3 linked regions of the Diceros bicornis minor genome follow. The protein of the gene in region 1 interacts with the protein of each later gene in a biochemical or structural test. Links are inferred from orthologs where the notes say so. Each region holds a gene or a part of one and is shown in the gene's direction. Other genes may lie near its edges. The genes, in order: EID1, FBXO21 and NR0B2.

Region 1 (7,084 bases):
TACAAGAAGCTTCTCAGATGATACCTCCATGGCTAATAACACAATGGAGTATTATTAGCTCATCTACTAATCCAAATATTTTTAAAATCAGTGACAGGAAATATTTTTTCAAAACCAAATTTTTTATTACCTGCTGCATGTAGCTATTCACAAATTGTACTAAGATATTTGAAAAAGACATGTAGTGGCAAATATGCTTTACATGGAAGTTAACTCTTATAAAAAGAAGCTTTATGAATCCATACTTACAGGATCCCCTCCAGAGGCAAATGAAATAGACTGCATATGATGATTTGCAATAATCTGGAAAACATAAACAAATTAAACATGTATGATGTTATAAATTAATTACTCCTAGTCATATACAATCTAACAGTAATGGACATACATGTGTTTGTTTTGGTTTTGCCTGCTTAGCATCCCTTTGGAAGCCACTCCACCACATTCTATAATAATCTCATTTAGACCAGGAGGTTCAGGTGGGTTTGACATGTCGCTTTCACTGCCATTCTCCTTGCAGGTGGATACACGATCCAGGCCTTGCCAATCAGAAAACACCATCCCTCTGGATACAGCAAAGCCAATCAATGTCTTTGGGTTGGAACTGAGGTGGATAATAAGAGAGAATGCATCTCTCTCCGCCATTAAGGACTGTGTACACCCAAAGCTTCTGGGAGCCATCTTGTGCTGCCATGAGGGAAAAGCCTGCAGGAAAAGGAAGTTTTCTCTCTGGAGAAAATCAGAACTGAGAGTTAAAAACGGGAAAAAGTCTAGTGGTAACATTTGTTTCATCACTTCAACCAATACATTTACCCCCTTCCTTTATCTTTTTATGTATTTTTAAATTTTATTTATGTTTATATAAGTTAGTTTGAATTGGGTTTCAGTGATTCACCACCAAAAGTCTCCTGACTGGGCTGGCCTCATGGCGTAGCGGTTAAGTGCGTGCGCTCCGCTGCTGGCGACCTGGGTTCAGAACCCGGGCATGCACCGATGCACCACTTGTCAGGTCATGCTGTGGCTGAGTCCCTTATAAAGTGGAGGAAGATAGCCACAGATGTTAGCCCAGGGCCAGTCTTCCTCAGCAAAAAGAGGAGGATTGGCATGGATATTAGCTCAGAGCTGATCTTCCTCACAAAAAAAAAGAAAGAAAGAAAAAAAATGTTTAAAAAAAAAAAAGTATCCTGACTAAGGCACTAACAGTAAGACTTTCAGTACGAAGTAAGACTATCCAAGAGAACTGCATTAGCTAGCCAAGAAGATTGTCTTTTTTACCTGAGATTCTATTTGGAAGCCCCAGTGTAACGGCCCGTTTGCAGAGATGTATTTGTCATACTGTTTTGAAGTTTCATTAAAACCCCAACTGTGCACCTATTAGCTAATCCTGTCTTCAGAATCTACTACAGCTGCTTATATAAGAGGACCAAGCAATTCTACTCTTAGATGTATGTCCAACAGAATCCTGTAAATATGTGCACCAAAAGATATTCTAAAGAAAGATAATCGCTGCCTTGTTCATAATAGCCCCAACTGGAAACAATCCCAATGATGACCATTGTGATATTCAACTCATGGACTACCACACACAACAACATATATCTTGGGCAAAAGAAGCCAGACACGAAGAATTATACTGCATGGTTTAAATTATTTTATTCTGTTTGAAGTCAGAATAGTGGTGACTTCTGGGGCAAAGGAAGAGACCACAGGTGGTTTTCCGGGATCCTGCAAATGGTGTTTCTTGATCTGCGTAGTGGTTAAACAAATACGTTAATTTTGCGATAATCAAGCTGTACACTTATGATTTGTGCACTTTTCTATATTTATGTTTTCTAAATTCATATTTCAGTTCAAAATAATTACTAAAAGCAAAATCAATATACAAAGATCAATGTCATTTGCACATATCAGCAAAAGCCAACAGAGACTGTATTCAGGGGGTGGGTGGGGAAGATACATTTTATAAGAGCACCTACATGTAAAACTAATAAAAATTGTGTAAGGCTTTTTGGAAAACTTCACTCAAGGATATAATTAAGACTTGAACAAGTAAAAAGATATGTATCACCTTCATGGATGAGAAGACAATATTGTAAAGATGTCAATTCTCCCCCAAGTTAATCTATAAATTCTGTGCAATTCCAACAAAAATTCCACCAATGTCACTCAGGGAACTTTTCATGCTGCTTCTAAAATTCACATGGGAGAATAAATGTGCAAAAAGAGATAAAGCCATTTTTTAAAGAAAAAAGGGACAAGATTTTTCCTTATCAGATAGCATGACATATAAAGACATATTCAAGTTGTTTCTAAAATTCATATGAGGGCCGGCCCCGTGGCTTAGCGGTTAAGTGCGCGCGCTCCGCTGCTGGCAGCCGGGGTTCGGATCCCAGGCGCGCGCAGATGCACTGCTTCTCTGGCCATGCTGAGGCCGCGTCCCACATATAGCAACTAGAAGGATGTGCAACTATGACATACAACTATCTACTGGGGCTTTGGGGGAAAAAATATATAAATAAAATTAAAAAATAAAATAAAATTCACATGGAAAAATAAATGTCTAAGAAGAGCTAAGACAATTTTTTAAAGAACAAAGAGACGAGATTTTCCTTATCATCAAGCATATTCTAAAACTACAGAAATTCATTAGAATACAAAGTCTGAAAACAGACTCAGGGCTGGCCCCGTGGCTTAGCGGTTAAGTGCATGCGCTCCGCTGCTGGCGACCCGGGTTTGGATCCCGGGTGCGCACCGACGCACCGCTTCTCCACCCATGCTGAGGCCGTGTCCCACATACAGCAACTAGAAGGATGTGTAGCTATGACATACAACTATATACTGGGGCTTTGGGGGAAAAAAATAAATAAAATTATAAAAAATAAATAAATAATAAAAACAGACTCACATATTCATGGACTTTTAGTCTATGATAAGTGTGGCACCAAACAGCAGACAAAAAGACAAATGATTAAATTAGTGGAGTTGGCTGAATTAGCTATATATATGGAAAAAATATATAAACAAATTCTGTCTTTTGTGTGTGTGTGTGTGAGGAAGATCAGCCCTGAGCTAACATCCATGCCAATCCTCCTCTTTTATTTTGCTGAGGAAGACTGGCCCTGAGCTAACATCCCACCCGATCTTCCTCCACTTTATGTGGGACACCGCCACAGCATGGCCTGACAAGGGGTTTGTGGGTGTGCGCCCGGAATCCGAAACCAGCAGAGCACACGCATTTAACTTCTACGCCACGGGTTGGCCAAACAAATTCTGTCCTCATACTACTTATATAAATAAATGTTTGATTCATAAAGATCTAAAAATATATTAGAAGACAAAGATAGAATATAGATCTACAAAGACAGAAACAAAGATCTACAAAAACATTAGAAAATAAAAGATTATGCTTGTGATCTCTGAGGCAGGAAAAATCCATCTTAACAGAAAGAAAAAGACATACAGAAAAAAAAACCTTAAATTTTATTACATCAAAACTCATTTTAAAACTTTTGTATAAGAAAAGACCCTTTGAAACAGGACAAACAACAGGCAGGCAGAATATATTTGCAACATGTAAAAAGTATTCATATAAAGAGTTTATGAGGATTCCTACAAATCAATAAGAAGAAACTCAAATAAGACCAATAATTTTCAGAATAAGTAATACAAATGTTTGATAAACATATTGAAAGATAATCAATCTCCAAGAAATCGAGGCTATGGAAAACAAAACAAGATACCATTAAGTTGATAAATTTGTTAAAGTTCAACAAAAGCATGTGTGGCAAGGGTATGGATCTTCTCAGACACCGCTGACTAGAGCTTAAATTTGTACAGCAACTTTGGAGAGCAATTTGACAGTATTTATTAAAACTAAAGTATGCATACCCTACGATTCCACCTTTCCACTTTTGGGTATTTAGTCTAGAGAAACATTGGTGGATGTTCATTTACCTATAGTTTATAGTATCAAAAAATTGAAAACTATTTGTGCATAGTTAGGTCAACTATGCCACAGCTATACAAATGGAACGCTATGAAAAAATATATATCTTTGTATACCAACAAAGCTAAATCTTCAAGATATTGCTGAGGGGTTTTTGTTTTGTAACTTGAAGACAGTTATGAGACGTAAAAACACACACACACAAAATAAGCTTTTTACACGAATTCATAAAAATCTATGTAAATGCAAAGAAACAGGATTTGAAGAATACACACCAAATCGGTAACAGCAGAAAGTTACCTCCTGCAAAAAGAAATGGGACCCCGTATCTCTTCACTATAATTTTCTTTAAAACGTACACGGATAATATGCTTATGTGTGAATTTAACTTTTTTTTAATGAGGAAAATAGAAGAGGTGAATGGATCAGTTCTTAACATGTCGATCTGTGGTTGAGAACACTGTGTGATTTGGAGGTGTGGATTTGTAAGTCATTAGCTCCTAGATAGATAACAGGTAGTGAAAACCTTGGAGCAGATGCGATTGCCTGGAGCGGGGGGAAGAGGAGGAGGGCGGGGGGAGGAAGGGGGGAGGAGCAGGAAGACGCTGGGTAAGCGTCGTTACAAAGGCTGTGTAGAGTATCTTCAAGTTTACAGCATCAGCAGAACGGTTAAGTGAGGCGGAGACTAAGCAACGGGCTAGTATTTACAGTCTCTAGGCATGACGTTCGACACAAGGGATACCCAGACCACCGAGCCACGCTGACGCCCCCTGCAGAGCAGCCACCAGCTCCCGCCAGATCAGGGCGCCAAGCGGGAGGCGGGATCCCCCAAGCGGGGGTCGCGCAGACGCACGAGGTTACGCAAGCGCACGGCGTTAGCGCACGCGCACAGCCGCGCGGCCGCGTAGCTCCGATCTTGCTGAAAACGCTGTGCGAGAGGTTGAGCTGCTGGTACGATGTCGGAAATGAACGAGCTGTCCGAGCTGTATGAAGAGAGCAATGACCTGCAGATGGATGTGATGCCTGGCGAGGGTGACCTTCCGCAGATGGAGGTAGGCGGCGGGAGCCGGGAGCCGTCCCCGAACCCCGCCCGCCCCGGGGCCCCGCCGCAGCTCGAGGAGGAAGGCCCGATGGAGGAGGAGGCGGCCCAGCCAATGGCGGGGCCGGAGGGGGAGCGCGGCCTTGCTAACCGGCCCAGCCCCGGGGAGCAGCCGGGCCAGGTCGCGGGCCCCGACTTCGAGAGCGAGGACGAGGGCGAGGAATTTGACGACTGGGAGGACGACTACGACTATCCGGAAGAGGAGCAGCTGAGCGGTGCAGGTTACAGAGTATCTGCGGCCCTCGAAGAAGCCAACAAGATGTTTCTGAGAACATCCAGAGCAAGAGAAGCAGCCCTGGATGGCGGGTTTCAGATGCATTATGAGAAGACCCCGTTTGATCAGTTGGCTTTTATCGAAGAGCTTTTTTCACTTATGGTTGTCAATCGTCTGACCGAAGAACTCGGCTGTGATGAGATTATCGATAGAGAGTAGTTAAATGCTGTTAAAAGAGGAGGAAGCTACTTGAGGAGAGACCCAACATTCCACTGTCTCTTGGGTTCATTCCAGATAGTTCCATGCCAATGAAAAACTTGATCTTCAAAAAAAGTCTTGTTTTGCAGAATAGAATAGGACAGTGACTGTACAGTTGCGAAAAAGGAAGAAAATTGTTGAAGAATCTTAGGACTGTTAAAACCTGTTTTCAAGAATGTCCTGAAAAACACCTATGGCTTTGACTTTGTTGCTGATCCAGAGTATTTTCCTTGCATTGGGGAAAATATCTTTCATATTTCACTGTAAGGGATGGTTTTGCAAGAATAAGTCATGACCAAGACAAACTGCCAGCACAAGAGCCCACTGATATATCCAACGTAGGACACAAGATGAGTTTGAGTTATTTGGACTGAAAGCCTATTGAGAAAACTTTGAAGATTCCACTTTGTGATCTGTCCAAGCCACAATTATCAAAGGCTAAATTTTTAGTGGAAGATAAATTGAGTATTCTTCAGTATCCCAAAAAGAAATATGTATCACGTGTGCTATATCTTAAAATGTGTTTCCAAGAACATCTGAAATTTTGTTTGTACATATATCTCGATCATTTATAAAGCTACTATGATCTATAATTCAAGAAAATTCATTGTCTTAACCATTTTTAAAAGTCAAAAATTAAGATGTTAATAAAGTTTCAGATTTAGACTTTAAAATGTATGTGCAAGTACAAAGAAAACAAACTATTTCTAACACCCTTCTATACTAGAGAAATTTTCTGTTTTACTTGCTCTCTGTTTTTCATTTAACTGTACAGGCAAAAGACTTGGGTTGAACTTCATAATTAAGAACTGTTAAGTGAAAATTGTCAAGTAAAAGAAAAGCCCTACATCTAAAAAAGACCTGAACAATTATGCTGTCAACCTTTAAAAGTTTTAAACCTGACTGGAAATCCACCTCAGTATTTGAAGTTTCCCTCTGTCTCCTCCTCTAAATAAGCTTGTTATTGGTTATGCACCAGCATTCAAGATAATAAAATTTCTTGTTCTGTGTATTTTGTTTGGCTAATAACATTGCATACATACTTTCTCTAATGCTTTATATTGGATTATACTATTTTATTGTATTGCAACCACTTTATGATATAAATTTAACCACTTTATAAGGGAAAGTGCTCGAGCTTCAAATACCTACTGTAGATTAATTTGTGGAAATTAAACTTAATGAATTCCTGTAAGAGAATTTACCAACCTGGGAAAGCCTGCCCTATCAATGAGCATGTTGCCGTAGTTATTTTTTTAAGATGCTGAAGTTCTGTGAGAAGAGGAATCATGTCAGAGGGCTGTGCCCAATAAAACTGAGTATATCAGTGGGTCTTATCATGATTAATCAAAAGGTATCAGATGTGCCTGCTTCGTTATGGTAGTAAAGGCCACATCCAATACAACAAGACAGCTCAGCCTTATTTATGTTAACGGTCATCCTGTCTTGTAGGGAGAGAGTTTCTTTTCTGTAAAATACAGAAATGACAAGGATGATCATAATCAAACACTAGCTTGGTGGGGAGAAGGAGAGAGAGATAGGGGAAAGATTAGACAGGAGGTAAAAT
Region 2 (7,330 bases), on another chromosome or scaffold:
TTTTTCATCACCCTAAACAGAAACTCTGTACCCATTAGGCAATAACTCCCCACTCCCTCCTCCCTCCCAGCCCCTGGTAACCTCTCATCTCCATTCTGTCTCTATGAATTTGCCTATTCTAGATGTTTCACGTAAGTGGGATCATACAATATTCATCCTTTCGTGTCTGGTTTCTTTCACTTAGTGTAATGTTCCCAAGGTTTGTCCATGTTGCAGCGTGTATCAGTGCTCCATTTTTTTTTTATGGCTGAAGAACATTCCGTTGTGCGCGCATACTACATTTTACAAATCTTTTTAAAGGCTAAGTACGCCTCTTGCCACTATTACAACCCAGGAATGTTTTTCTTAGGGACCTGGGAACTATCTCTTTGAAATGTAAATATCAGGGAAGATAATGTCCCTATCTCCCTGTGACCATGGGAGTTTAACATGAGCACCTTGTTCCCAGCTGTAAGCACCTGCTTGTCGTAAAGATGAGAAGTTGTATTATTCTTTGAGATGAGGGCAGTTAGCTAGCACAATAGGTACCCCAATTACCGGGTGAGCTTAGGATGAACTAGGAAAGAATGCATGAACTAGGACAGGTGTGGTCAGGTCCTCTTACCTGAGGACAAGTTACCACTAATCTCGAGAGCACGTACGTGAGGCAGTGACTGGTGTATATAAAAAGGGTGGGATTTCTCTCTGTCTTTGTAATCTCATCAGCGGATTACCTGTGATGTGCATCACAGTCTGGTTTAACGCTTATTCAATAATAAAACTGTTCTCCATCTTTTCTAGAGTCACAGAGAGGATTTTCTGGATTGGCAAGCGATTTTAGTATCTTAGTCATCTTTGATCAGAAGACAGGAAGCAAGAAGGAGGGCCAGGATGTCACTGATAAGAAAGCAAGAGTTGTTCACAAGAATGACTTACCAATCGTCTGTGCAGTTGGGGGGGTCTACCTTCTGCCCGACTGGGTGGAAACTTGGTTTATCAAGGTCTGAGCATCATCAGGGCTGATTTTCACATTCTTAGGGCCAGGGTGGAAGCCAGGGGAACAGTTAGGAGCCACAGAGGGGGCATGGACTAGGGCAGTGGCTGAGGAGACTGAGAGAAAGACACAGATTTGAGAAAAATTAGGAATGATATTTTGGAAAAGAAAATGGCATCCCCGTTCCAAAAAAAAAAAAAAAGTTTCCCTGAAGAAACTGAGACACAGAGAACTTAACCTCTGTTGGGCATTTGAATATGGAGACTGCTTCCAAGCGCACTTAAGACAAAAATCTCAGCCCTTTCTCTCAGATCCTGTGGGGTCTGACAACAGTGAGGACATGCAGTGTTTGAAAGCACGGAATCTGGAGACGCCACCTGATTCCAGTTCGGAGCTGCCCAGCTGAGCCCTTCTCCATTTCCTGGCCCACAAAACCAAGAGCACAAAAACGAGGTTGTTTTAAGCCACTAAGTTTTGGGTTTATTTGTTATGCCGCAAGAGTAACTGATATATATGCATTGTTTCATTTAATAGGAAGATCTATCATTATCCCCATTTTATAGATGAGGAAACCGAGGCACAGAGAAGTCAAGATCTATTGGGTATTTGGATATGGATGGTGAGGGAGAGAGGTGCCAAGGATGGCAACAAGGTCCAGTTTTGCAGGAATGGATGGATGGGCAGCCTTTCCCAAGGCAGGAACCATCAAGAGAGGACAGGATAAGTGGGGGTGGGGGTGTGAGTTCACTCTTGGATAAGTTGAGTTTCAGGGCCCCAAAGGGAATGTCAGGGGAGCAGCTGGCTGAGTAAGCCTAGATCTCAGAGGAACAGGCTGGGCCAGAGAGGGAAATGTGGACATTTAAACTGGGTTTGGATCATCATTCCAGCTGTAGACAGGGGTGAGAAAGTGAAAGAACGGGGCCTGTGGCTGAGCCCCAAGATACCCCAACATGTACCATCTGGGGGAGATGGCAAAGGAGACTGAGAAGGACCTGCCCTAGGGGTAGGAGGAGAACCAGGAGAGGCTGGGGCCACAGAGGCCAAGGGGAACCAGCATTTCGAGGAGAAGCAAGTGGTAAATAGTGTCTGCAGGGGGAAGACAAGAACAAGGCCAGGAAACTTCCACTGAATTGAGAAGCGTGGCGGTGCAGACTCTCTCCTAGATCTACCAGACTCCAGCGGCTGCTCTAAACCTCTCTGTTTTAATGACTAGGAGCAGCAGCAGCAGTACCTCTGTCCCCGCCCCCCCATTCATATGTTGAAACCCTATCCCCCAGGACCTCAGAATGTGACCAGATTTGGAGACAGGGTCTTTAAAGAGGCCATTAAAGTAAAATGAGGTCATTAGAGTGAGCCCCAATGCAATATGACTGGTGTCCTTATAAGAATAGGAGATTAGGTCACAGACACACACACAGAAGGAAGACCATGTGAACACACACGGAGAAGAAAGCCATCTACAAGCCAAGGAGAGAGCCTGCAGAAGACCAACCCTGCCAACACCTTGCTCTTGACTTCTAGCCTCCAGAACTATGAAAAAATAAATTTCTGTTGTTTAAGCCACACAGTCTGTGCCATTTTGTTATGGCAGCCCTCGCAAACTAACATATGCAGTAACACACAAAAAACTATTGAGGTGAAATTCACATAACATAAAATTAAACCATTTAAAGTGATTCAGAGGCATTTAGTACATTCACAATGTTGTGCAACCACCACCTCTATCTAGTTCCAGACATTTCTATCACTCCAAAATAAAACCTGTTCCCTTTAAGCAGTTTCTCCCCATTTCTCCATAACACTGTTTTATTGAGTACTTTCTCTGTGCCAGGTACAGTTCTGTACACTTTACACAAATGTACTAATTCTAACACAGCCCAGGAGCCCAGCATTATTATTATTTTCTCCATTTTACTGACGAGAAACTGGACCTCAGAAAGGCCTGCGATCAACAGATAATCATTGAGAATCGGCTACGTGCCAGGCCTGGGCCAAGTAACTGGGCCTCTGGAGGTGAATCAAACACAGTCCTGATCCTGAAGTTGCTTCTGATCTAGTGGGAAAGACACAGGTTGAACAAATAGTTATAAATTAAGCAAATAGTTACAAGATTGCAAAATGTTGGGAAGGAGCCATATCTGGTGCTGGGGGCTGGGGTGAGGGAAGGGAGGGCATCTGGGGAGGTTAAGCTAAGGCCTGGAGGAAGAGGAGGAGCAGCTGGAAGGAGGGCATGCTGGCACAAAGCACATTCCAGGCAGTGGGAATAGTATACATGTGAGGGACAGAAGCACCAGGAAAGAGACCAGCCTGGCTGGGGCGTGGCTAGTGAGGGAGAAAATGGCCTCAAAGAGGCAAGGAGAGGCAGACAGGAGTCTTTCCCTTTGCAACAATGTTAGAGATTTCAGATTTATTTCTAAGGGCCATAGGGATCCATGGATGGCTTAACACCATCCATTGACAATAACTTTACTTGTTCAACTCTTTCAGGGCATTCTGATTTCCAAGTTGGGAGGACACTTTATTGCGCCTCCATGTACTGACAACAGATTGTTCTATACCTGTGTGTCCCCCTAATTGGACTTTGAGCTCCTGGGAGGCAAGGGCACCATCTCACTCACCTCTGTCCCCCCAGGGCAGACAGCACAGGGCTTGGCACTGAACTGGGCTTAAATATGTATATATAGAAGAGGCCCCACTCACACCTGTGTGGTAACTCCTGCTTTGAGGGTTCAGATCCAGGCTCTACCACTTGTTGTCTCTGTGACTTTGAACCAGTGACTTCCACCTTTATGAGCCTTGTTTTCCTTATCTGTAGAATGGTATAATTGTGGTACCTATCCTAGAGGACTCAAATGAGGAGTCCCTGAAGAACGTATGTAAAGTGCTTCGCACCGCACCCACTCAAGAATATTGTGTGTTGTTATTACAGTCAAGCAGAAGTCAAGCGGATCTGGATTAGAATCTAAGACAAGGGACTCTGAGCAAGTCTGTTCATCTTCCTGAGCCTCAGTTTCCCCATCTGTAACCTGGGGAGAGAAACAGTGCACCGGCTTCTTGGGAAGGTCCGAGGAGCTCATGCACAGGAAGCGCTCAGCCCACACGAGAAAGATGGATGCTACCCCGGCTCCCGGCCCACAGCGCAGTTCTTTTCCAAAACGCATTTCCTTCCCTTGGCGGCGGCGCAGTCCTGGAGCGCGACCCGGGAGGAGGGGGCGTGGCCACGGACGTGGGCGGGGCGATGTCGCGCCCGCCCCTCGGGCCGGTGGGCGGGGCGAAGCGGGGCGCCCCGGCGTGTGCGTGCGCGCGCGGCGGCCCAGGTACGCGGACAAGATGGCGGCGGCAGCGGGCGAGAGCGCGATGGACGTGGTGCCGGCGCTGGCGGAGGAGGCCGCGCCGGAGGCGGCGGGCCTCAGCTGCCTCGTCAACCTGCCGGGCGAGGTGCTGGAGTACATCCTGTGCAGCGGCTCGCTGACGGCCGCCGACATCGGCCGCGTCTCCAGCACCTGCCGGCGGCTGCGCGAGCTGTGCCAGAGTAGCGGGAAGGTGTGGAAGGAGCAGTTCCGGGTGAGGTGAGCCAGCGCCCCGCTGCCCGAGCCCCCGCTCTGCGCCCCCCGGGCCCGGGCCCGGCCGGCCGGCGCCGCTGCCCCTCCCCGCGCGAGGACCCCACCCCCGTCGCCCACCCCGGACCGCTTCCCGCGGACCGACAGACAAAGGCCTCCAGGCCGCCGGCCCCTCGGGTCCACGCCGCGCGGACCCTCCGGTGCCCAAATTGCGCATCGGGGGGCGCCCAGCCGCCGGGCCCTCCCTGAGGGATGACGACGGTAGTGCCACGGCTCACCCAGCCCGCGCGCTTCTTTTGTGCCCGACTCTGTGCTAGGATGTTTACATGGATCCGGTGATGCGCTGAGCCTCAGCCCTGGAGGCAGCGGGCGCAGCATCCCCGGGTTGTTGGCCGAGAGCACAGATTTCCGTGGGGGACCCGGCATAAAATCTGGCCCTGGCACACTCGCCGTATGACCTTGTGGGTAGCGGCTTCCCTTTTTTGAGCCTCGTTCGTCGACTTGGAACGGTGATCCTGAGACCCACCTTTGTGGTTATTAAACCAGAAGATGTGTAGGGAGCATTTGCACAGGGCCCGGCTCTTGGGAGGCGCGCAATAAATGTTAACTGTCATTGTCATCGCTATTACTGTTGCTACGACTGTCCCCATTTTATAGATGGGGAGTGGAGACGCAGCATTCCTTTTGCGACGCCAAGGTCACACCGTGAGCGAGTGCGTGCGTGCCGGATGGAGAGCTGAACTAGGTCCACCGCCGGGGGCCCTCTGACCACTAAACCGTACCGCTTTCCCTGTTTTCCAAGGCTGCCTTTGATTCGTGTCTGTCTGCCCGCCTGCCTTTGAGTCTCTCTGAAGCTGAGGGGGTGTTTCTCTCCTTGTAGGTGGCCTTCCCTTATGAAACACTACAGCCCCACCGACTACGTCAATTGGTTGGAGGAGTATAAAGTTCGGCAAAAAGCTGGGTTAGAAGCCCGGAAGATTGTAGCCTCCTTCTCAAAGAGGTTCTTTTCAGAGCACGTAAGGATCTGTTGATGTAGCTCTACGCTTCTGCCTGGTAGTGGTGTCTGCGTCTGGGTCTGGAGCGTTAGCTCATCCAGCGCTTTTTGATATCTCCCTTTTCAGTGCTCTCACAATCCCTTACTCACTTAGACGGCTGCAAGAGTCATTGTGTCCTTTTCCTCCTCTCCGACAACATGAAGCCATTTGTCCCTGCCAGCTTGAGTTTACTAAAGCCAGAGAGAGAATGGGGGTGGAAAGGGAGGCAGGGACCTGCAACACAATGTGAAGGGAATTCAGATCAGCGTTATTTCTTTGCAAGTGGGTTAAACGTATTTTTTGCAATCTCCACGTGATTTGGGGGATCATCAGTGATTGAACACTACAAATTTCACCCCGTTGTTTTCCCAGAACGTTTGACAAAGTTAATATGGTTCTTCTCTCTGGCTTTGCAAGTTTTAACCAGTAGTAAACTGCATTGTTTGTTAAGGTAACAGGATTAAAAGCTATCTGTAAATCAGAAGTATTACTCCCTCAATTAAAATGTTTTGCATTCATTATCCTGATAAGTTTGTTTTTTTAATATTGCTGAAATGCATGGGGTTTTTTTTGGTTTTTTTCCTTCCACAGAGTCTCTCACAGCAGTTTCTGTATCCGATCCTGATTCTCAACTTTTTGTAACTCTGGAAAATAGAAAAAATATTTTAAATTTGTTTCACATTAGGGATCTAGAAATAGAGCCAATCTGATGTATTTTACTATCCTGGTTTACTGAAGATAAATCTCTGTTTTCTAATTTTAATTACTATTACTTAACGGAATTCATACATTTGAAGTATTTTCCAGGCTTTTCAAGTTTTGAAAGGGAAAATTTGAACTTGGGACAAATTTGACCTTATTCCCCTATGGAGAATAAAACTAGATATTTCCTAGAGTGGTTCATTTCTATAAATAAATGTTTGTTAATGTTAGAAGGGACAAAATTACGTTCAACTTTGGATAAGCTGGCTAAAGCATTCATAATCACAGATTTTAAATACTGGTTAAATGTGTTTGTACCCACATATATTTGGGTGCTAAATATGTTTGATGCCCTTGGTCATGGGCTACTGGTTTGCAGCCTCTACTTCTAGTCCAGCTGGTTTTATGTGCATTTTTAACAGCCTGTGCCTTTGTCTAATAATGATGAATTGTTGTGTTTTTTCCTTAGCTCCCTCTTTCCCTGTACCACTGCCTAATTAGAAGTATGTCAAGGACTTTGAATGTAGCAAGAGTATACTTAAGATTGATCTGTGGGCGGGTGATTACTTTGGCTCAGGACCCTTGTATTCCTGTGTTCTCTGCGTGCACATAGGTTGATGTGAAATTTCCTGGCTACTTTCAAAAAGAAAAGTGGGAGAAGTAATAGAATTTTAAACCAAGGGGACCTAAAAGCCGATTGGTACCACCACCTCAATTTACAGAGGAGAAAACATGCCCAGTGGGTTGAATTGCCAAAAGCACTAGACTTCTCTCTCTGCCCTCCTCTCCTCGTGGAGTGCAGTGTAGACTGCACAAGATAGTTATTGTGAATTAGGAGATTTTGTATTTCTAGTTATTTTTTCAGAGCTATTTTTCTTCACATTAGAACTCTTGAGTTAGCAGTTTCAGAAATTCCAGTCTATGAAAATATAACTCATTTGCAACTAGCAAGATCTGAACAAATTGTTACTTTGCATGTTACTTTCTAACCATCCTGGGTGGTGCAAGATAGTGCACTTATTTCATTCCATGAAAATAAGCATCTTTGTTTGCAACTCAGT
Region 3 (7,273 bases), on another chromosome or scaffold:
CGAACCCGGGTCGCCAGCAGCGGTGCACGAGCACTTAACCGCTAAGCCACGGGGCTGGCCCTAGAATTTTATTTTTAAAAATCATTGACAGCTCTACTTCCTCCTCCTCCTGAAAATTTCAATCCTAAAACTATTAGCAGAACAAGGTACAAATATGCACCAGAAGAGAGAGGGAGCCACAGCAGCCCAGAGCAGAAGTTAGAGCTCCACCAGGGTGCGGAGGGCGTCCACACAGAGAAGCCACCTGGTGTTGGGTGACAGATCCCCAGCTGCGTGAAGAGGGCGTCCCCGAGGGGGAGGGGGCACCTGACACAGGTATCAGAGCCCAAGTGGGGTAGGGAGACATCTCACAGGGGAGGGGGCGACAGTGGAGATGGAAGATTAGTTACAAACGGTGGCTTTATCCAATAAGTAAAAAAATTAAGAATAATGGAAGCCAGATTTCTGAGTGTCGGAGAAGGGAGGTGTAAATACAGAAAGAGCGAAAACTAGAATGAACCTTGTTTTAGTGGATTAGAACTGCAGATAATGATCTGAACTCATGTTTTTTAGTATATGTATGAATAAATATAGAAATAAATATAAATGTGTGTGTGCGCGCGCGCGTGTGTGTGTGTGTCTGTACATTCCTTAGCTCTGGGACGGCCTAGGAGCAGTGACACCCTAATAGCAATGAGCAGATCTTGGTTTTTAAATATTCTAGTCCCCAGATTATGGTTTTTAAATACTCTTCTCCACTAGAAGATTGAATCAGAACTTCTTGGAGTACTGGTTGATTCCAGGGGCTTGAAAAGTGGTATCTTCTTATACCAGAAGACAAAGGATGTTCAAAGAATGATGGGGCATGTCAAAAAGACACAGACTCCGGCTTGAAGGGGCTCCCATTGGCCAAATCTGTGACAATTTTAGCATCAAAATAATGATAGTAACAGATTGCAAGCCACTGAATAAAATAGGAGACCCTGCGTTCCTAACTAAATACATACATACATACATTCAATGTATGAGGAGGAATATATAGATAGTTTTAAAATACATCCTCATAGGGCCGGCCTGTGGCTTAGCAGTTAAGTGCGCGCGCTCTGCTACTGGCGGCCCGGGTCCGGATCCTGGGTGCGCACTGACGCACCGCTTCTCCGGCCATGCTGAGGCCGCGTCCCACATACAGCAACTAGAAGGATGTGCAACTATGACATACAACTATCTACTGGGGCTTTGGGGGGCAAAAAAAAAAAAAGGAGGAGGATTGGCAATAGATGTTAGCTCTGGGCCGGTCTTCCTCAGCAAAAAGAGGAGGATTAGCATGGATGTTAGCTCAGGGCTGATCTTCCTCACAATAAATAAATAAATAAATAAATAAATAAATAAATAAATAAATAAATAAATAAAAATACCTCCTCATAAAATACTGATTCATTACAAAGAGGAAAAGATGAACTATAGTGGAGAAGCTTGGCAGCCATCACCTTAATCAAGTGACCAAAGTGATCAATGGGACAAATGGAAAAGTACGCTCCCTGATAGGATGTATCAAGAGGAACACAGTACCACTTCTGTGATATTCCTGCTAAAGATACATAGCCTGAGCAATCACAAGGAAGCCTCAGACAAACCCAAATTGAGAGCCATACTACAAAATAACAACTCTCCAGAAGTGCCAAGGTCGTGAAAGGCAAGAAAAGACCAAGGATACTTCCTGACTGATAAAGACTAAAGAGACATGATAAAGAAATGCAATGTGAGATTCTGGGCTGAGCCCCTCCACCACCACAATTTCACTGGAGCATTTGGTGAAACTTAAATGGGGTCTGAGATTAGATGTTAATTTCCTGATTTTTTTCCATGTTAATTTCCTGATGTCGATGGTTATGCACTATATATTGTGGTTATATAGGAGAATGTCCTTGTTTGTAGGAATTACACACTAAAGTATTTGGGGGTTATGGAGCATCAGGTTGGAAGTTTACTCGCAAATGGTTCAAGGTTAAAAAAGTTCTCTGTACTGTACTTGCAAACGTTGTTTGTGATGGTTTCAAAATAAATATCATTGACATGAGAAGAGGTGAACAAAGAGTGTGCAGCTAAAACACGTAGGTAAATATTGTCAGGCAATTGATCAGTAAAAGTACCTTGGTATTCTCCTGGGTTTGCAATGTTTGTGTTTTCTGTTGGCTTATTTTAGTTTGTAATTTGTAGAGATTTGTTTTTTCATTTTAATTTTTTTTATTTATCTATTTTTCCCCCCAAAGCCCCAGTAGATAGTTGTATGTCATAGTTGCACATCCTTCTAGTTGCTGTATGTGGGATGCGGCCTCAGCATGGCCGGAGAAGCGGTGCGTCAGTGCGCGCCCGGGATCCGAACCCCGGCCGCCAGCAGCGGAGCACGCGCACTTAACCGCTAAGCCACGGGGCCAGCCCATGTTTTTTCATTTTAAATATTCACTTTCATACCTGATTTTCTATTCTTAAAGAAGGCCCTTCAGATTGTATAAGCTTCATACCCCATAAAACCAATATCCACTATTGGCCTTTCTTACCACCCTTTTAAAGATGAGGAAACTGGGCCAGCCCCGTGCCTTAGCGGTTAAGTGCACGTGCTCCACTGCTGGTGGCCCGGGTTCGGATCCCGGGCGCGCACGGACGCACCGCTTCTCCGGCCATGCTGAGGCCGTGTCCCACATACAGCAACTAGAAGGATGTGCAGCTATGACGTACAACTATCTACTGGGGCTTTGGGGGAAAAAATAAATAAATAAAATTAAAAAAAAAATTAAAGGTGAGGAAACTGAGGCATCGAAATATAAAGTGACTTGCTCAAGGTCTCTCATCTAAGTGATGAAGCAGGATTTGGACCCAGGCGGTCTGACTCCAGAGTCTCCTTTGAGGGGACACTGTGAGGATTCAGTGAGATAAAAGGACGTGAAAGGGGGGCTGGCCCGGTGGCGCAAGTGGTTGGGTGCGCACGTTCCGCTGCGGCGGCCCGGGGTTCGCCGGTTCGGATCCCGGGTGCGCACCGACGCACCGCTTGTTAAGCCATGCTGTGGCAGCGTCCCATATAAAGTAGAGGAAGATGGGCATGGATGTTAGCCCAGGGCCAGTCTTCCTCAGTAAAAAAGAGGAGGATTGGCATTGGATGTTAGCTCAGGGCTGGTTCTCCTCACAAAAAAAAAAAAAAAAAAAAAAAAAAAAAAAGGACGTGAAAGGAACTTTGTAAATGTAAGGATTAAGATTATTGACAATCAAATGAAAGATGCATGCCCATTTGTCTGCTGGGGCTTATTTCCTTAGGCAGAGGGAAGCGGGGGCAAAGCCCTCCTACTGTATACCAGAAACTGCTTGGAATTTGACATCCAGGACCTCACTTTGTCCTCACAGCAGCCCTGCAGGCAGACAGACATTATTGTTCCAGGTGAAGCTCCTGAGGCCCACAGAGATTTGGGGATCAGCCCAAGGTCACACAACTAGAAAGTGATAGAGCCAGGAGCAGATGCCAGGGATGGTGATGGCTGCCCAATGGTGTGGTAGCAGAAGGCTTGCCAGGCTGGGCTTGCCAAGGTCCACAGATATGACACAGCCGAGGACCTTCCCACCCGCTTTCATAATCCACGCCCCACCGTCTGAGACAGATGCCCAGGACAGAGGAGTCATGTGGCTGGCGGCAGAGCAACGTTTCTACTCAGATTATAAGTGGGCGGCAGCAAGGTGGGGGCCCAGGTAGTCACCAGCTCTGGGAAACCCAGGCCACACAGCTCTGGCTACACAATTGGGCCAGTGGATCCGGAGGAACAAGCAAAGACTTTGGAGTCAGATAGATCTGGGTTCTGTCTCTTTTTAGTGGCGTGACTTTGGGCAAGTCACTTCACCTCTTTAAGTCTCAAAAAGTAAGACTCCTGCCTCATAGGGAAGCTCTGAATATTAGAGTGGAAAAATACCTGGCACATAGTGGGTGCTTAATAAACAGCAGCCATATTGTATTATCATTCTGGGATGGCAGGAGCTCTAGGAATCCAGACTGGAGAGAGAGTTCTTAAGGACCTTATTTCTGCAGGGCCCCTCAAACTGGAGTCAGTCCACTCCTAGACTGCACAGTAGGCAAAGTCCTCTCAGCCTCCTGGGGTCTTGGCTCCCTTCCCTGCAGCCTGTTCCTTACCAACAACAGCAGCAGGGCCCCAAGGTTAGGCAAATAAGCCAGCGATAAGGTACTTCCAGGTTGGGCCTTGTGTTCAAGGCTTGTCCAGCTCGGGCTGGCTTCCCGGTTTAGCGAGAGTCTCACAGGCACCAATAGGGACACTTGCCATGGCCACCTGCTGATCGTGCACCTGAGGCCTTGGTGCCCTGGTACAGCCTGGGTTAATGACCCTGTTTATCCGCTTGAGTCATCCGATAAGGGGCAGCCAGGACAACGGGCAGGTGGCCCCATGCCCTGCACCGGCCACTTCATTGACTAAAGCAATATCAGGGCCACGTGGAGCTCCCAAGGCCCCCCCTGTCCCCTGCCACTTCCCCACTAGTCCTGCCAGGGTCAGTGTGTGTTTCTTTTTTTTTCAATGAACATGACTTCTGGAGTCAAGGTTGTTGGGCTGTTCCCTCCTCCCCACCATTGGAGATATAAATAGCACCCACAGCACAGAGCAGAGGGCGGGAGAGCTGGGAGGAAGGAGGAGCAGAGCCTCAACCATGAGCTCCAGCCAGCCAGGGACCTGCCCATGCCAGGGTGCTGCAGGCCGCCCAGCCATTCTATATGCACTTCTGAGCCCCAGCCTCAGGGCCAGGCCCTCTGTGGCCCCAGCCCGTGGCCACTGCCTGTGCAGGCAGCACCGGCCTGTCCAGCTGTGTGCTCCCAATCGCACCTGCCAGGAGGCCTTGGATGTTCTGGCCAAGACAGTGGTCTTCCTCAGGAACCTGCCATCCTTCTGCCAGCTGCACCCCCAGGATCAGCGGCGGCTGCTGCGGGGCTGCTGGGGCCCTCTCTTCCTGCTTGGGTTGGCCCAAGACACTGTGACCTTCGAGGTGGCTGAAGCCCCGGTTCCCAGTATACTCAAGAAGATCCTGCTGGAGGAGCCCAACAGGAGTGCAGGCAGTGCCCAGCCGCCTGATCGGCCCCAGCCCTCTCTGGCTGCAGTGCAGTGGCTTCAGTATTGCCTGGAGTCCTTCTGGAGCCTGGAGCTGGGCCCCAAGGAATATGCCTACCTGAAAGGGACCATCCTCTTCAACCCTGGTGAGCTCCTAGGCACTCCTGGATGGGGGCTAAGGCTGGAAGGGAGCAGGGCCCAGCCAGGGAAGGCAACTTCTAAGGGCTTGACATCTGTTATCTCTTTGAGTCCTCATTATCACCAAATAGTTATCTCACAAAAGAGGCTCAGAGAGGCTAAGTGACTTGCTAAAAGTCACACAGCCAGGTGGGGGCAGAGCAGGGATGGGAACTCAGGTCTATTCCAGAGACTTGCTCTTGCCACTCTGCCCAAGAAACATGCCCTGACCCTCAGGGAAGGTGGGAGTGGGGGAGGGGAGGGTGGACAGACACAGCTGTGCCTCAGTCACAGGTAAAACTCTGTAGTTTCAGAAAGACCACGTAGAGAAGAGGAATGAAGACGAGGGGGTGTGGGGAGGAGAGGGAAGAGTCAACAGATAAAGGTAGTGTTCTTTGTAATCTGGAGAGCTTCTAGACGAGAATTCTTCATCAAAGGGCCCTCACAGAATGTGTAAACTAAAGTAATTAATTATAATAATTATACTCATATAACAGCTAATACTCATATAACACTTACCATATGTTAGGTCCAGTTCTAAGGGTTTTACATATACTAGCTCATTTAAACCTCATAACAAGCCTAGGAGATTGGTACTATTATTATCCCCATTTTACAGATGAGGAAACTGAGGTACAGAGATTAAGTAACTTGCCCAAGGTTACACAGCATGGAATTCAAACCCAGGCAGCCTGGCTCTTAACCATTACTCTATACTGCCTCTCCATAAATGGATGGATGAATAAAATGATAAATAAATAAATGGATGAGGTAGTAATGGGGCCTCAAAGGCCGAGCTGGTGGCCTCAGGTCTTGGGCCAGCCTTGCCCTGTGGTGTCTGGGAGTGGGGTGCTCACCAGCCCTCTTCACCTTCTCTGCCCGCAGACGTGCCAGGCCTCCACGCCACCTCCCACGTCGGGCACCTGCAGCAGGAGGCTCATCAGGCGTTGTGTGAGGTCCTGGAGCCCAGGTGCCCAGCAGGCCAAGGCCGCCTGGCCCGTGTCCTCCTCACAGCCTCCAGCCTCAAGTCCATTCCGCCCAGCCTGCTTGGGGACCTCTTCTTTCGCCCTGTCATTGGAGACATTGACATAGCTGGCCTCCTCGAGGACATGCTTTTGCTGAGCCAACCTGCTCCAGCCCAAGCAGAGATCAGGTGTAGGGTGTGCAGAGGCTGGCAGCACTGATTTGGCCTGGCTGCCTGTCCCCAGGGGTGACCCAGTGCTCCCAGAGGATGCAAACCTGTACAGACAGCACTTGGCTCCTGAAGAGCAAGCTGGCCCTGGCCCAGCCACACCCCATGTTGGCCTTCCTTGGTTTGGACACTGCTCCAGCTGTCTGGCCGGCCCTTGGTGGTCCCAGAGCCTCTGGGCCAAAACTCCTGTCCCCTCCTGGGATGGGGATGAAAGCTTAGTCTGCTCATTGGGCCAGGAGTCCTACTGACTTTGTACAGAAACGACTTAAGTTATTGGTTTTTGTAATAAAAGGTGTGACAAACTTGGAGCTGACACTGTAGTTTGTCCCTGAGGAAGGAACCATCTCATCGCCAGCACCCACCCTGCCCCTATCAGAGGGAGCCCAAGAGGAAGGAACCATAAGGGGTGCAGGAGCCAGGCCTCAGGGAACTGGGATATTAATTTTTCAGGATGGAATGACGATTTCATTTCTGGAGATGAGATTTATTTTGCATGGGTCTGAATCCAGGGGATAGTATCAGTTCAGGACCCCCTCACCTCCTTGCCTTTATCTTTGGGGGGAGAGGGTATCTCTCCCTCTCCCCAAATCCCCCACGGACCTCTCTCTCAGCTCCTGCCCCAGGCTCCCTCTCACCTCAGTGAGAGTCAGGTCACAGCCAACGAGGAAAATGAAGCTGCCCATTCCAAAATTGAAACAGACAAGGTCATTGGAATTTCTGCAGTTTGGAATCATTCACTTCCCCCATTCCTGCAGCCCACAGAAGAGGGTGGTCCATTGTTCTCTGATCCGGAGGGGGCAAGGGACCCAGTGCTGGCCTGGCAGCTCCTTGG

What was found.
Region 2: of the proteins of EID1 (region 1) and FBXO21, one has a biochemical effect on the other in vitro, tested with the Homo sapiens proteins (2 studies listed by BioGRID, with this or other methods). The link is inferred for Diceros bicornis minor from reciprocal best matches to the Homo sapiens genes EID1 and FBXO21.
Region 3: the proteins of EID1 (region 1) and NR0B2 form a complex in vitro, tested with the Homo sapiens proteins (3 studies listed by BioGRID). The link is inferred for Diceros bicornis minor from reciprocal best matches to the Homo sapiens genes EID1 and NR0B2.

The regions. Positions count from the first base shown.
Region 1 is NC_080744.1:45,426,202-45,433,285, forward strand, and holds EID1 (EP300-interacting inhibitor of differentiation 1), read left to right. Parts: upstream 1-4,661; 5' UTR 4,662-4,902; coding exon 4,903-5,478; 3' UTR 5,479-6,529; downstream 6,530-7,084. Other genes in the region: SHC4 (SHC-transforming protein 4), read right to left, coding at 250-303. UniProt on the Homo sapiens protein: Interacts with RB1 and EP300 and acts as a repressor of MYOD1 transactivation. Inhibits EP300 and CBP histone acetyltransferase activity.
Region 2 is NC_080774.1:14,386,505-14,393,834, reverse strand, and holds the start of FBXO21 (F-box only protein 21), read left to right. Parts: upstream 1-4,303; coding exon 4,304-4,542; intron 4,543-5,413; coding exon 5,414-5,549; intron 5,550-7,330. UniProt on the Homo sapiens protein: Substrate-recognition component of the SCF (SKP1-CUL1-F-box protein)-type E3 ubiquitin ligase complex.
Region 3 is NC_080752.1:42,664,906-42,672,178, reverse strand, and holds NR0B2 (nuclear receptor subfamily 0 group B member 2), read left to right. Parts: upstream 1-4,677; coding exon 4,678-5,218; intron 5,219-6,134; coding exon 6,135-6,433; 3' UTR 6,434-6,671; downstream 6,672-7,273. UniProt on the Homo sapiens protein: Transcriptional regulator that acts as a negative regulator of receptor-dependent signaling pathways. Specifically inhibits transactivation of the nuclear receptor with which it interacts.